3 linked regions of the Mytilus edulis genome follow. The protein of the gene in region 1 purifies or fractionates together with the protein of each later gene. This does not show direct contact. Links are inferred from orthologs where the notes say so. Each region holds a gene or a part of one and is shown in the gene's direction. Other genes may lie near its edges. The genes, in order: GTP-binding protein 4-like, mRNA turnover protein 4 homolog and ribosome biogenesis protein NSA2 homolog.

What was found.
Region 2: the proteins of GTP-binding protein 4-like (region 1) and mRNA turnover protein 4 homolog purify together in Homo sapiens (affinity purification with mass spectrometry; 3 studies listed by BioGRID and IntAct, counting the BioPlex papers as one, with this or other methods). This does not show direct contact. The link is inferred for Mytilus edulis from reciprocal best matches to the Homo sapiens genes GTPBP4 and MRTO4.
Region 3: the proteins of GTP-binding protein 4-like (region 1) and ribosome biogenesis protein NSA2 homolog purify together in Homo sapiens (affinity purification with mass spectrometry; 3 studies listed by BioGRID and IntAct, counting the BioPlex papers as one, with this or other methods). This does not show direct contact. The link is inferred for Mytilus edulis from reciprocal best matches to the Homo sapiens genes GTPBP4 and NSA2.

Annotation. Positions count from the first base shown.
Region 1 is NC_092345.1:13,258,599-13,262,358, reverse strand, and holds the start of GTP-binding protein 4-like, read left to right. Parts: upstream 1-1,396; 5' UTR 1,397-1,467; coding exon 1,468-1,515; intron 1,516-3,760. Other genes in the region: zinc finger protein 28-like, read right to left, coding at 964-1,009. UniProt on the Homo sapiens protein: Involved in the biogenesis of the 60S ribosomal subunit. Acts as a TP53 repressor, preventing TP53 stabilization and cell cycle arrest.
Region 2 is NC_092355.1:77,874,632-77,878,391, reverse strand, and holds the start of mRNA turnover protein 4 homolog, read left to right. Parts: upstream 1-1,391; 5' UTR 1,392-1,502; coding exon 1,503-1,530; intron 1,531-3,760. Other genes in the region: 14-3-3 protein beta/alpha-1-like, read right to left, coding at 595-909. UniProt on the Homo sapiens protein: Component of the ribosome assembly machinery. Nuclear paralog of the ribosomal protein P0, it binds pre-60S subunits at an early stage of assembly in the nucleolus, and is replaced by P0 in cytoplasmic pre-60S subunits and mature 80S ribosomes.
Region 3 is NC_092347.1:14,142,082-14,145,841, forward strand, and holds the start of ribosome biogenesis protein NSA2 homolog, read left to right. Parts: upstream 1-1,190; 5' UTR 1,191-1,287; coding exon 1,288-1,290; intron 1,291-2,968; coding exon 2,969-3,036; intron 3,037-3,606; coding exon 3,607-3,672; intron 3,673-3,760. UniProt on the Homo sapiens protein: Involved in the biogenesis of the 60S ribosomal subunit. May play a part in the quality control of pre-60S particles.

The DNA of each region.
Region 1 (3,760 bases):
ATAACTTAAATTGCAAACATTCCAATCCTGTCTTAATTTTTGATATATTTGATTAATATTTAATTTCCTGGCGAGTGCTCTCAATAAAATTATTTTTTGTTTAAGCTAAGAAAGCAACAACATTCTAACAGGAAACCAATTAGTTGAGTATCACTTTGGTAATCGATACTTGGTACTACTGAGCGTTACTCGAGTACTCAAGAACTCATTGACATCCCTACTTTAGAGATATTAATGTTCCGCGTCATATGAGTATTTGGACCATATGAGTATCTCATATCATGGGGGGTCAGAGGGGTCCAGATCCAGAAATCCCCGGTTTAAAAACATGAAATCCTGACATGCTTGAGGTCACTAATTTTAAAAAAAATCAAATCCCGACATCCCGAAATTCGAATGATGAATTCCCAGATCCTGAAAGGATCAATCCTGAAATCCCGAGCTCAAAAACACCTGATCTGGAGTCCCTATAAAGGTCCATCCCCCCTCTCATAGGGGGTCTCATTGGGGGGTTCCGATCCCGGATCCCGCTTACTGTTTTGTCAGATTCCCGTATCCCGCTTACACTATGTACATAAGCAATTCTCATTTTTTTGTCATTTCCCGGGTCCCGCAAGACCTAATTTCCTGTTTTCACGCCACAATAATTTGACTTTCACGTGTCACGCTTACAAAAAATCGACAATCCCGCGTCACGCTTAGACCCCAATGAGACCCACCTCATATGGTCCAACCATTTGTACATTTTTTGGACTATTATCTAGATATGAGTATATATACTTGTTTGGTTATCGATGGGCCACATCAAATGAGAAATTTGAAACCAAAATTGGCACTGAAATCACATCACATAATACACCAATCAATATGCACTAATAAAAATAGTTTATTTGATGAAAACTACTGTATAAAAAAATATACAGGCCCTGTGAATCAAACTTCGGGTCAAACAGCGTTTTTAACCTTTGATTTCTGACTGATTTATGTCTTCAAAACTGACACTGTCCATTTTTTTCCGGATACCCTGGGATCCTGGCTTACTGCTCGACAATCAACAGAGTTATCGTATATTAGATTGGGTCAGGATGCCTAACTGTTTTTTTCGGACAAGCCAATAAAAACCGGAAGTCACAAAAAATGATAAACTATAACTAGTGAGGAGAGATCCTGTTAATACTACGGAAAATATATTTTCTCGAAAATCTTCACAATTTTAAATTTCATATAAATTTTGAAAAAAGTTCAATTTATTATTTTCATGTCTTTGATATTTATTGTCATGTTTTCTTGGAGAAAAATCTTTTAATTGTCACCAAAATAGTCCGTTGTAGTTGATTATTTTTCATCAATCTTTTATTGGTAGACTTATCATTATTTTCACCAATGAAAATCCAATAAATAATTCACTCCTGGTGAATTGTCAACTTCCTTTTCACGTGTGTGCCAGATTTTGCAACATCAGTCAAAATGTCACACTACAATTTCAAGAAAATCACTGTGGTTCCACCATCAAAAGTAAAGTCAATTGACATTTTATTTGAAGGAAACACTATAGCTAGTTATTTAGTCTTTTGAAATTATGTTCAATTGTAGAAATTACAAAAAGATACATATCATCGTGTAATGTGTTTTCGTACTAATAACAATTTTCACTGCTTACGGTTTTTACTGTTGAGTTTTTATTTAGGTGTTTACTCAGATTTAAAAAGCATGTCCTGTAGATTGATTTTAGGTATCTAGTTTTTTTTGTCAATGATTTCTACGATTTTTTACTGTTTCCGATTACTTTGCGATTTTTGTATGTCAAAAAAACGGCGTCATATGTTTTCGTATGAAATAAAAATTGGATCAGTACACGGACAGGAAATGACTACAAAATCCGGAAATAATTTTTTTTTAAAGTCGTGGTTCTGGTGATCGCTTGAATCATAAAAAAAGTTATTAAATACTTTTCAGTACTAAAAATTACTAGTTAATAGTGTAAGGTTGGTGTTTCGTGTGATGAAATTTTTAGATTTTGATTAATTTTCAGATTGGCACCTGGTTTGTACAAAATACATTATTTTTTCTAAAATAAAATGCAGTTTTCAAAATTTATGATTAAATATAAAAAGTTAAGACTGTTTTCATCTTCATGTATCAAGGATGTATAAAAAAAAATTGTCAATGAAATATTGAATAGTTGGATTTTGAACAACCATTTTATATAAGAACCATGCTAATTTTAACTCGATGGTTTGTAATTAAAACGGCCAAAAAAACACATGACAGTCATATGTCTTGAAGATCCGGTGTCTGACTTGCAAAAAACATATCTGGACTTTATTTTAACCCTTCAGAATTTTTTTCCACAACTATTCTAGTGATGCGTTTTTTTGACATTAAATAAAAATGGCTAAATAGGTCAGTTTTATTTAATTTGTTCTAACGTCTTTAAAAAGCGACGTTGAATATGTTTTAAATATATCAAGTTGTAGTGGTGTTGTTGTTCTAAATATAGAAACAGAAAAACATGCCACAATGTACGCGTATGCAGTCGAAACCGACGAAATGTGGTTGATACGAAAACATATGACATACGAAAACATATGACACGACGATATGTTTATAACATGCCGTTCATGAAAAATTTATGTTTACAAAGATGGGGTTAAATAATAGATTGGTTGATAGTTGCTAGCATCAACGAATATAAGTGGCAACTAAGCAAATTAGTTTTCTTAATACAAATTGAATAATAACTTGCCCGATTGCTAAATCACTCCTCATTGCCCTCAATCTTGAGGCCTGTTAGCCCAAATTTTCTCTATTGTGTGTTTTGCTCAACGTAGTTTCTTCTCGGTGCTATAAAAGGGGTCTCACTAATTAGCGACAACAAGCGTCAAGAAGCGACAACAAGCGTCAACAAGCGACAAGAAGCGACAACAAAAATTATTTTAGCGACAACAAGCGACAAGAAGACTATTTAGCGACAAGAAAACATTTTTTTTTATTAGATATAAAGAAATTTGTATTTAATGTTTTTTTTTAAATATACGAGCAGATATGTCTAATTAAAATGTTTTATAATATAAATAGACGAAGAAATGAAACATTTGTGAGAAAGCTCAAGATTGTCATTAATTTCCTTTCATCTTCAATCAATATGCATAAACATGATAAATATTGCGAGCTTAATATATATTGCACGAAAAGAGTTTTAAAAAACAAATTATAAGATAAATAATATGTTCTAAAACACAAGGAAAAGTAATCTCATAATACAATAATTAAACGTAATACTGGCTGTTATATATATATATTCATAATAGATGATAAAATATTATCATGTTAAATAATGTTTCATTTTTTTCTATCAATTTTAACTTTCTTCGTCGCTAAAATTATTTTCTTTTGCATATTCTTTTAATATTTATTGCAATAATTAATTTTAATTAAAAAAAAAATGTTTTCTTGTTGCTTGTTGTCGCTAAAATAATTCTTATTGTCGCTTCTTGTCGCTAAAATTCTTGTTGTCGCTAATTAGTGAGACCGTATAAAAGGGTATGCACTGGTTAAGAGTGGGATTGTGGAAAAGAAGTATCAAATCTGCAAATTCTGTTTATGAACTCGCCTTCTAATCTGGTAAACATACTGTTCAGGGTGCTCTTTGGATATTTGATTGAACATATCTTCTCGTTTGTTCTCATAGCAAGGACACTCCATGAGGAAAATGGTGAAGTGTTTCACGTGCTCCACAGTTGCATGACTCTGCGTTGGT
Region 2 (3,760 bases), on another chromosome or scaffold:
TGGTACAAGAACCTTCTTTTATTTTTTATGCATTTAACTACATGTATAACGTCTTAAGTTGCATACACCTACAGACTTCATATAAATGCAAGCCAAGAATAATGCATTTAAAAACTGCTGGCAATTTTAATATGGATACTAGTACTTCATAGTGGAAAATCACACAGGTTTGTCATTTTTGCATAATTTATGCAGAGTGCTCCATTATATAATCAGTGCTGCCAAGCTGTTGATTCTGTGAACAATAAGATAAATCATTGCATACTGCATTCAAGATGTCCACGGAGTGTCTAGATCTGCAATAATACTGCAGAGGAGATGATGAGCTCATGACTCATGCAAAATTTTTACATTTTTATCAATGACGCGGATGAATATACAAACACATGCCAATTTTATGATGATCCAAATTCTCGTCTTCCTGCACATGCAAAAACGATGCTATCTGAATCTGTGTATTGCGATCGGGTGTAGAATATATTTTCTTTGATATATAAACATCTATAACTTAAAGAAAACACAATAAAAATAAACATGCAATGAAAACTGCACGCAAAACGACACAACAAGAAACATCCGTCAACTTTCACTCACCAGAACGTCTTTGCAAATTTCTTGGAGTTCGGTTGTTACTTTGTTTTTGTAATCTTTAGCCAATTGCTGTTTCTTTTCTGTGCCATCAGTCTTAGATTCTATACTTGAAATTACTCTCCATGATGACCGCCGGGCACCAACAACATTTTTGTAGGCAACGGAAAGTAGATTCCTCTCCTCGTTGTTCAACTTCCTAAACTTTTCGACCACTTTTTTCATGGCCTCGGCCATATCATCATACCTTTCAGCTTGTTCAGCTAACTTAGCTTTTTGAACTAGTGTCTCGCGTTCCTTTTTATCTTCGACTTCCGACATGGTTAAAATATTTGTAAATAATCGAAATTTGAAGTCTACTACTCTTTACTCTATCTCCACCTTCCCAATATGGCGGAATACACTAACCAATCAAAGTACAGGTGACATCACTGATTCTTCCGCTACTCCTTTATTTTCATGGACTAAAATGATAAAGTTTAATTGTTTATATTCTATAAAAATATGTCAGGGAAGATTAATTCACTAAAAAGAATAAAAATAGTTATCGTTTGAATAATCGAATATATTATGCAGTGGGACTATTTTGCATCAAAATTCCTAAAACCTGGAAGTGGGTTATCTTCTCTTGAATTCCATTTCTTTCGATAGATTTCGGGGATTACATTCTTTCGAAAAGGTAGCCCTAACGTCACTGTTGCTATGTCAACTCCTAGCCGGGTGTCGAAGGTCAACGTTGTTAATAAATAAAACTTTACCATAAATTATTTTCAATGATATTTTCGAATTGGAATTGATAAAAAGTGTAATAATTTTAATAAAAATATTTTTTTAATTCAATTCCTGAAAACAGGAATATTTCCTTATTTCCGGTTGAAAAAAACACGTGTGTTTGTGTACATTTTATTATCAAGATGCCAAAGTCAAAAAGGGACAAGAAAAGTATTATTATATTGTTGTTTATTCAAAGAACTGCTTATACACACTACAAAATACAAATAAATGTTACAGTCATTTTGTAAAATCCCTGAAATTTTAACAGTTTGAAAATATTTGGGATTATAATTTTATACTATAGTTATTTTTTACTACTACTAGGTACATTGTATGAGTGTTTTTATGGGGGTTACGGTACTTTCGTGACTAACAAGGGGCCTCGGGGGCCGAGTGGGATAAGAAGTCCGATTCTAGCTAGTCAACGCTGAGGTTGTGAGTTCGAACCCTGCTCTTGCTGGTGCAAAGGGTTGCGTTCAATATCGTTCAATATTGTAGGGGCTATGTAGTGCTACGTAGATTTATGACTATTGAACTAGTAGCTAGCCTATTACTATGTAGCAGCTATACTAACTACTTGTTCAATAGTCATCAATTTACGTAGCCCCTACGATATTGAACGTGACCCTGAACTCCAATCTTCATTGATGTTTGTCAGTTTTCTTATTGAAGTAGTTACATTGTGTAACTAAATTGTTCAACCTTGTTTCACTTTCAATTTTGATATTTTTTTCATTAATCAGGTCAAGAATAACCACCAATTGGTGGATTATACCTCAATTGATGTATAATCCACCAATTGACATATAATGGTATAGACCAATTGGTGTATAATTCTTTGTTTTTCAAAGCAAATTATTCCACCAAAATGGAGCATTGTCTTCTTAAAAACATATTATGGTATGAAAACTTGTAAAACATTCCTAGTTTAGTATAGTGACATTACATATTGCATTTCAGTGGCGGATCCAGAACTTTTCCTAAGAGGTGGCCTGCTCCAGTCATGCTTCAATGATTCCCTATATAATCAACCAAATTTTTCCCACGAAAGGGGGGTCCTGGGCCCCCCAGGGCCCCCCTGGATCCGCCTATGAATTTAATCAATAATTGTATTTGCAGTTTCTTATATTGTTATATATCTTGTCAATTCTTGATTGGCAAATTTACCACTAATCACCTGTCAATGGACATCAATACTGTCTGCAGTCATGTGATCATGAGTACAACTCCACAGGTGAATGGAACTCTTTGTTTTAAATACTTCACTTTCATTATCAAAAGTCAATCATGGTCAATAGTACAAATGTTTCAACAAAAGAACTGTTGTACACATGCATTCTCAAGAGATGCAGCAGGCTTTGGCAAAACTGAAACTTTCAGAGGACTCAATAAAGGTCATAAAATAGGTTGCAAGTTGCAAAATCATGCTCCTATCTCACACTAGCATTTTCTTACAAAAAACTCCCATTATACATCAATTGGTCTATACCCATATATGTCAATTGGTGGATTACACGTCAATTGAGGTATAATCCACTAATTGGTGGTTATTCCTGACCTGTTAATATCTGAATAACTCAGTCATATTAGTATATGCCTTACCCAACTCAGCAGGGATAGAATTTAGTTTAAAATGTTGTTAAGACCACAGGTCTAGAGTAAATTTGTTCAGCGTAGTCCTGATAAAAACAGCCTAGCCCTAAGTCACCGATGAGGGTCGCGTCAGCGACCTGAACCTTCTAGCAGGGTTTGGGGGCATGCCCCCCCCCCACAAGAAAACTTTTCAGAACTACATTCTATTTCCTGCTATCTGAGACCATTCTGAATGTAAAAATGAGGTCTCATAATAGCCAATTTATGGAGTCTCAAAAAAGAAAGAAATGGAAAATAATTAAGATAACTATATTTAATTGATTTTTTTAAAGGCAGTGCTTTAAGGCATAAAACTTTGAGTTTTTGTGTCTTTCAAAGCACGAACAATATACAAAATTAGTTGCAGGGTAAAGACACTAAACTCATAAGTAGAAAAAAACAATACTTGCAATATGGTGACATATAGTTGTTAATTTCTGTGTCATTTGGTCTCTTGAAGAGAGTTCTCTTATTGGCAATCAGACCTTATAATGGCTTATCTTCTTCTTTTTATTGATTGCATTTAAAAAAACTTTTTTCAACTTAAAAAAAAATACAAAATACAAATCCAATGAGAATACAGGCCTATCAGATGGTACTCATGTGCAGAGTGTGATGAGACTAGCATTGATGAGAACTAGAACCTAAGTCCTGTGACATGACTAGATTCAGTTGTACTTGACTCATATTTTTAAAAGTATTTTTTTAAAAAAACCGTCAAATTCTGTTATATTGTTTAAATTCGTTTTGCTCCTTTAATAAACTA
Region 3 (3,760 bases), on another chromosome or scaffold:
TGGTCTGTGCATCCATTCCTCCGTCTGTCCTGCTTCAGGTTAAAGTTTTTGATGAAGTTTAAGTCCAATCAACTTGAAACTTAGTAAATATGTTCCCTATGATATGATCTTTTTAATTTTAATGCCAAGATAGAGATTATACCCCATTTTCATGGTCCACTAAACATAGAAAATGATAGTGCGAATGGGGCATCCGTGTACTAGGGACACATTCTTGTTATATTGTTATTTTAAAACAATAGAATGACCTATTTCTGACCAGAAGGCCAAATTAAGAATTATCAGAAAAGCTAATTTTGACATTTTTGCAATATTTGAATATTTAATAAAATTTAGGAATCATATTCTTCACCAAAACCAAATTTCTGTTGGCGGTACTGCTATATATTATCTTTTAGATTCAAATCAATTTTGAATCATTGTGATGTTACTGATAACTTCTCCAGCATTTTGACCTAGCTGATAAGTCTGATCAAGCATCAAAGCCTTGACACAAGAATATTGGAGCAACTTAGCAGGAAGATAAAGGTGGATGGAATGACTATAAGATGACCTATTTCTAAACAGATCACCTAATCTATTGTTAATGCCTAATGAGAGCTGAATTCAACCAGTTTGACAGATGTTTGCAAAGTCTGAGTATTTGTCTTAAAAATTATAATATCAAAAACCAAACTTCTGTTGGAAGTATTTAAAGTAAATATAAAAAAGAAGATGTGGTATGATTGCCAATGAGACAACTATCCACAAAAGACCAAAATGACACAGACATTAACAACTATAGGTCACTGTCGGCCTTCAACAATGAGCAAAGCCTATACCGCACAGTCAGCTATAATAGGCCCCGATAAGACAATGTAAAACGAGAAAACTAACGGCCATATGGTAATGATGATACAAAATAATTCATTTTGGTAGGAAACATTAAGATAAAGAAGAAGAAATAAACCTAATTTTCTGCTGATTACTTTTGATAATATCTTTTGTAATGAGTCTTTTGTAGACGAAACACGTCTGGCGTATGTATAAATTTTAGTCCTGGTATCTATGATGAGTTTATCTACAAAATAATCTTTTTTTTTCTAACTATGAATATGAATTATCATTATCAATTGGTTAATTATTAAGTTTAAGGGTACGGACTTGGTACCCGTGACGTATTTTAGCAAAACCTTATAAAAAACCGGATTTTTCGATTTTGTCCGTGTTCAACTTTGTATATTTCTTTTAACATGTGTCGCTGAGAAATTTCACAACAAAAATATTGACAACTTTTAAAAACTCATAATGGTTAGTTTATAGCATCGACAGTTAAGTCAAAGTGTTATATAAACTATCCCTTATATACATACGTAATTATTTGACGATCTATATGCCTATTTTTCTCTTAAAACACGATATTCACATATAAACATGTTGCGTATGGCAGTCAAAACAAACACTGAAACAGCGATCACTATTCTCAGATCCGGACATCCTGGTATTTAAATTTTTCAAGAGGTGATGCAGACAGGATTCCTCTTGATTTTTCATCTATTTGAAGGTGATAACTGATTATTTATATTGCTGATTATTTTTTAACCAGAGGATATAATATGATAAAAATCAAAATTGAGATATTATATAGTGTCTTTAACAATATTAAGTGGGTAAAATTACTAGATTCAACTGGTTCAATATATATCAATTAAATTAATTTTTATTGAAGTCTATGCAAAATCTAGAGGATTCTTATCCGCATCACCTCTCAACATTGTTTACATAACACAAATTCTTATCATTGATTGGTCAGTTACATGTTGTGATGTCACTGCAGATCTGAGAATTACCGTATCAGTTGAAGATAAACACAATGGGGAGCAGTTTTCATCATGAGTGTTAAAGATTAATGTATGATGAGAAAGTATTAAAATACATTGCTGTTGTATTATGGCAATAACTTGAAAATATCTCGTGTTCAAATGCAGTAATGGATTATAGTCGCTGTCACGTAAAATTGGCACCATGTCTTTTGTCAAATAAAAATTAAATATCAGCCGCGTTTACTCAAGAATGATGTTTTTCATTTGGTGGAAGTAAAGTCCTGTCCAAATACAAACACAATAAAAGGTAGGACAATAGTGGATATTTGGACAGGATTTTTCTTCCGCTAATTGAAAAACATGATCTTTAGTAAACGCGGTCGATATTTAAGAAAATTTTGACCAAAAAAACATTGTGCCAATTTTACGTGACGGCGACTAGTATATTTTACAACAAAGACACCCCTTTGTATTGCTATTTGTTTGTCATTACATCACAGAGGTTCCTGTAAAATATTGCCATCATAAGAGAAATTATACAATGCTTCTAATCTTATATATGGCCAATAGGCTTATCTTGTTCACAGAAAAAAACCCAGGGAAATTGATCTCTAATTATCTTCCCTTCACAAATGGTTCAAGAGTTTTTTGGATCCATTAATTGAAATATCTTCAAAAAATGATTTAACTTTGAACGAATCAAGGTGAGTTATCAACAAAAAGCTGTAGAATTTTCTAAATTTTAACCATATTGCTTAGAAACAATACTTAAGTTTATATCAGCAACGTTGTAAATGCACCTACTATTCAGACATTTGAAAGCCGCCTAGGTAAATTTTGGACAAATAGTGAAATGAAATATATCTATAGAGCAAAAGCTGACAGAGGAACTGGAACCGAAACAAGTCAGCAAATAAATGAAGATCTGAGCACAGTGGAGTGATCCAGCGCTCAGTTACAGACTATGTAAGACTATGTAAGACTAAGACTTAAGTTAGCAAAATTAACAGACTAAACTTCCATTTTCTCTTGTCAATTTATTATTATTTTGAATAGCCTAAAATGTTTATGAAACTTAAATGTGTCAGTGATATGGACATTGGTTTCCATTTATTAATAGTAGTAGCCTTTCAAGTTTGATAGTTCTTAATTTAATTTCTCTATAGCCTCAGAACGAACATATAGAACTCCACAGAAAAAGACATGGCCGCAGACTGGATTACCATGAGAAAAAGTAAGTTCAGCGAACTGAAAAGATTATTATAAATTTTATAACTAAATATATTTTAAGAACTGTTCAGTGTGAAAGATATATAAATATGCCAAATGGGAGAAATGTGTACAATTAAGACTTGTTTTGTTTAATTTCTGCCACTAGACCAGACATGATTAAATTCTTAGTCTTAGTAGTGATTTTAAACTATTTATTCATGTTGAAATTTTGATAAACATTTTCAGGGTATGACATGAATATTGTTCTGAGAAGAATATTATTTTGCATTTTTGTGATTTCAATCACAATTTATATGCTAAGAGAAAACATTTTTCTTGGAACTGCTGTTTACATTCTACAGTGAATACTCCATTGCTATACAATAATGGCACATACTTTTTGTTTACTCAATACTTGCATTGTAACTTTTATTTACAAAACAACATAGTTTGAAATATTCTGATACATAGAATCTAAGAAACCTGATAAAATAAGTTTAGTTATCATGCAGGCATCAGTCTAACTTAAAGATAGACAGAATATTAAGTCATAAATGTGCACTCAAATGATTAATGATTTTTCTTTTGTCAGACGTAAAAAGGAAGGAAGAATGCCACATAAATTGGCAGAAAAAGCAAAGAAACTAAGAGGCATCAAGTGAGTATAAAGGACATACTTATCAAACCTTTCTCTGTTTACAAGAAACCACAGAGTATCTCATTAGTGAGGTTCCTTTTTATTTTAG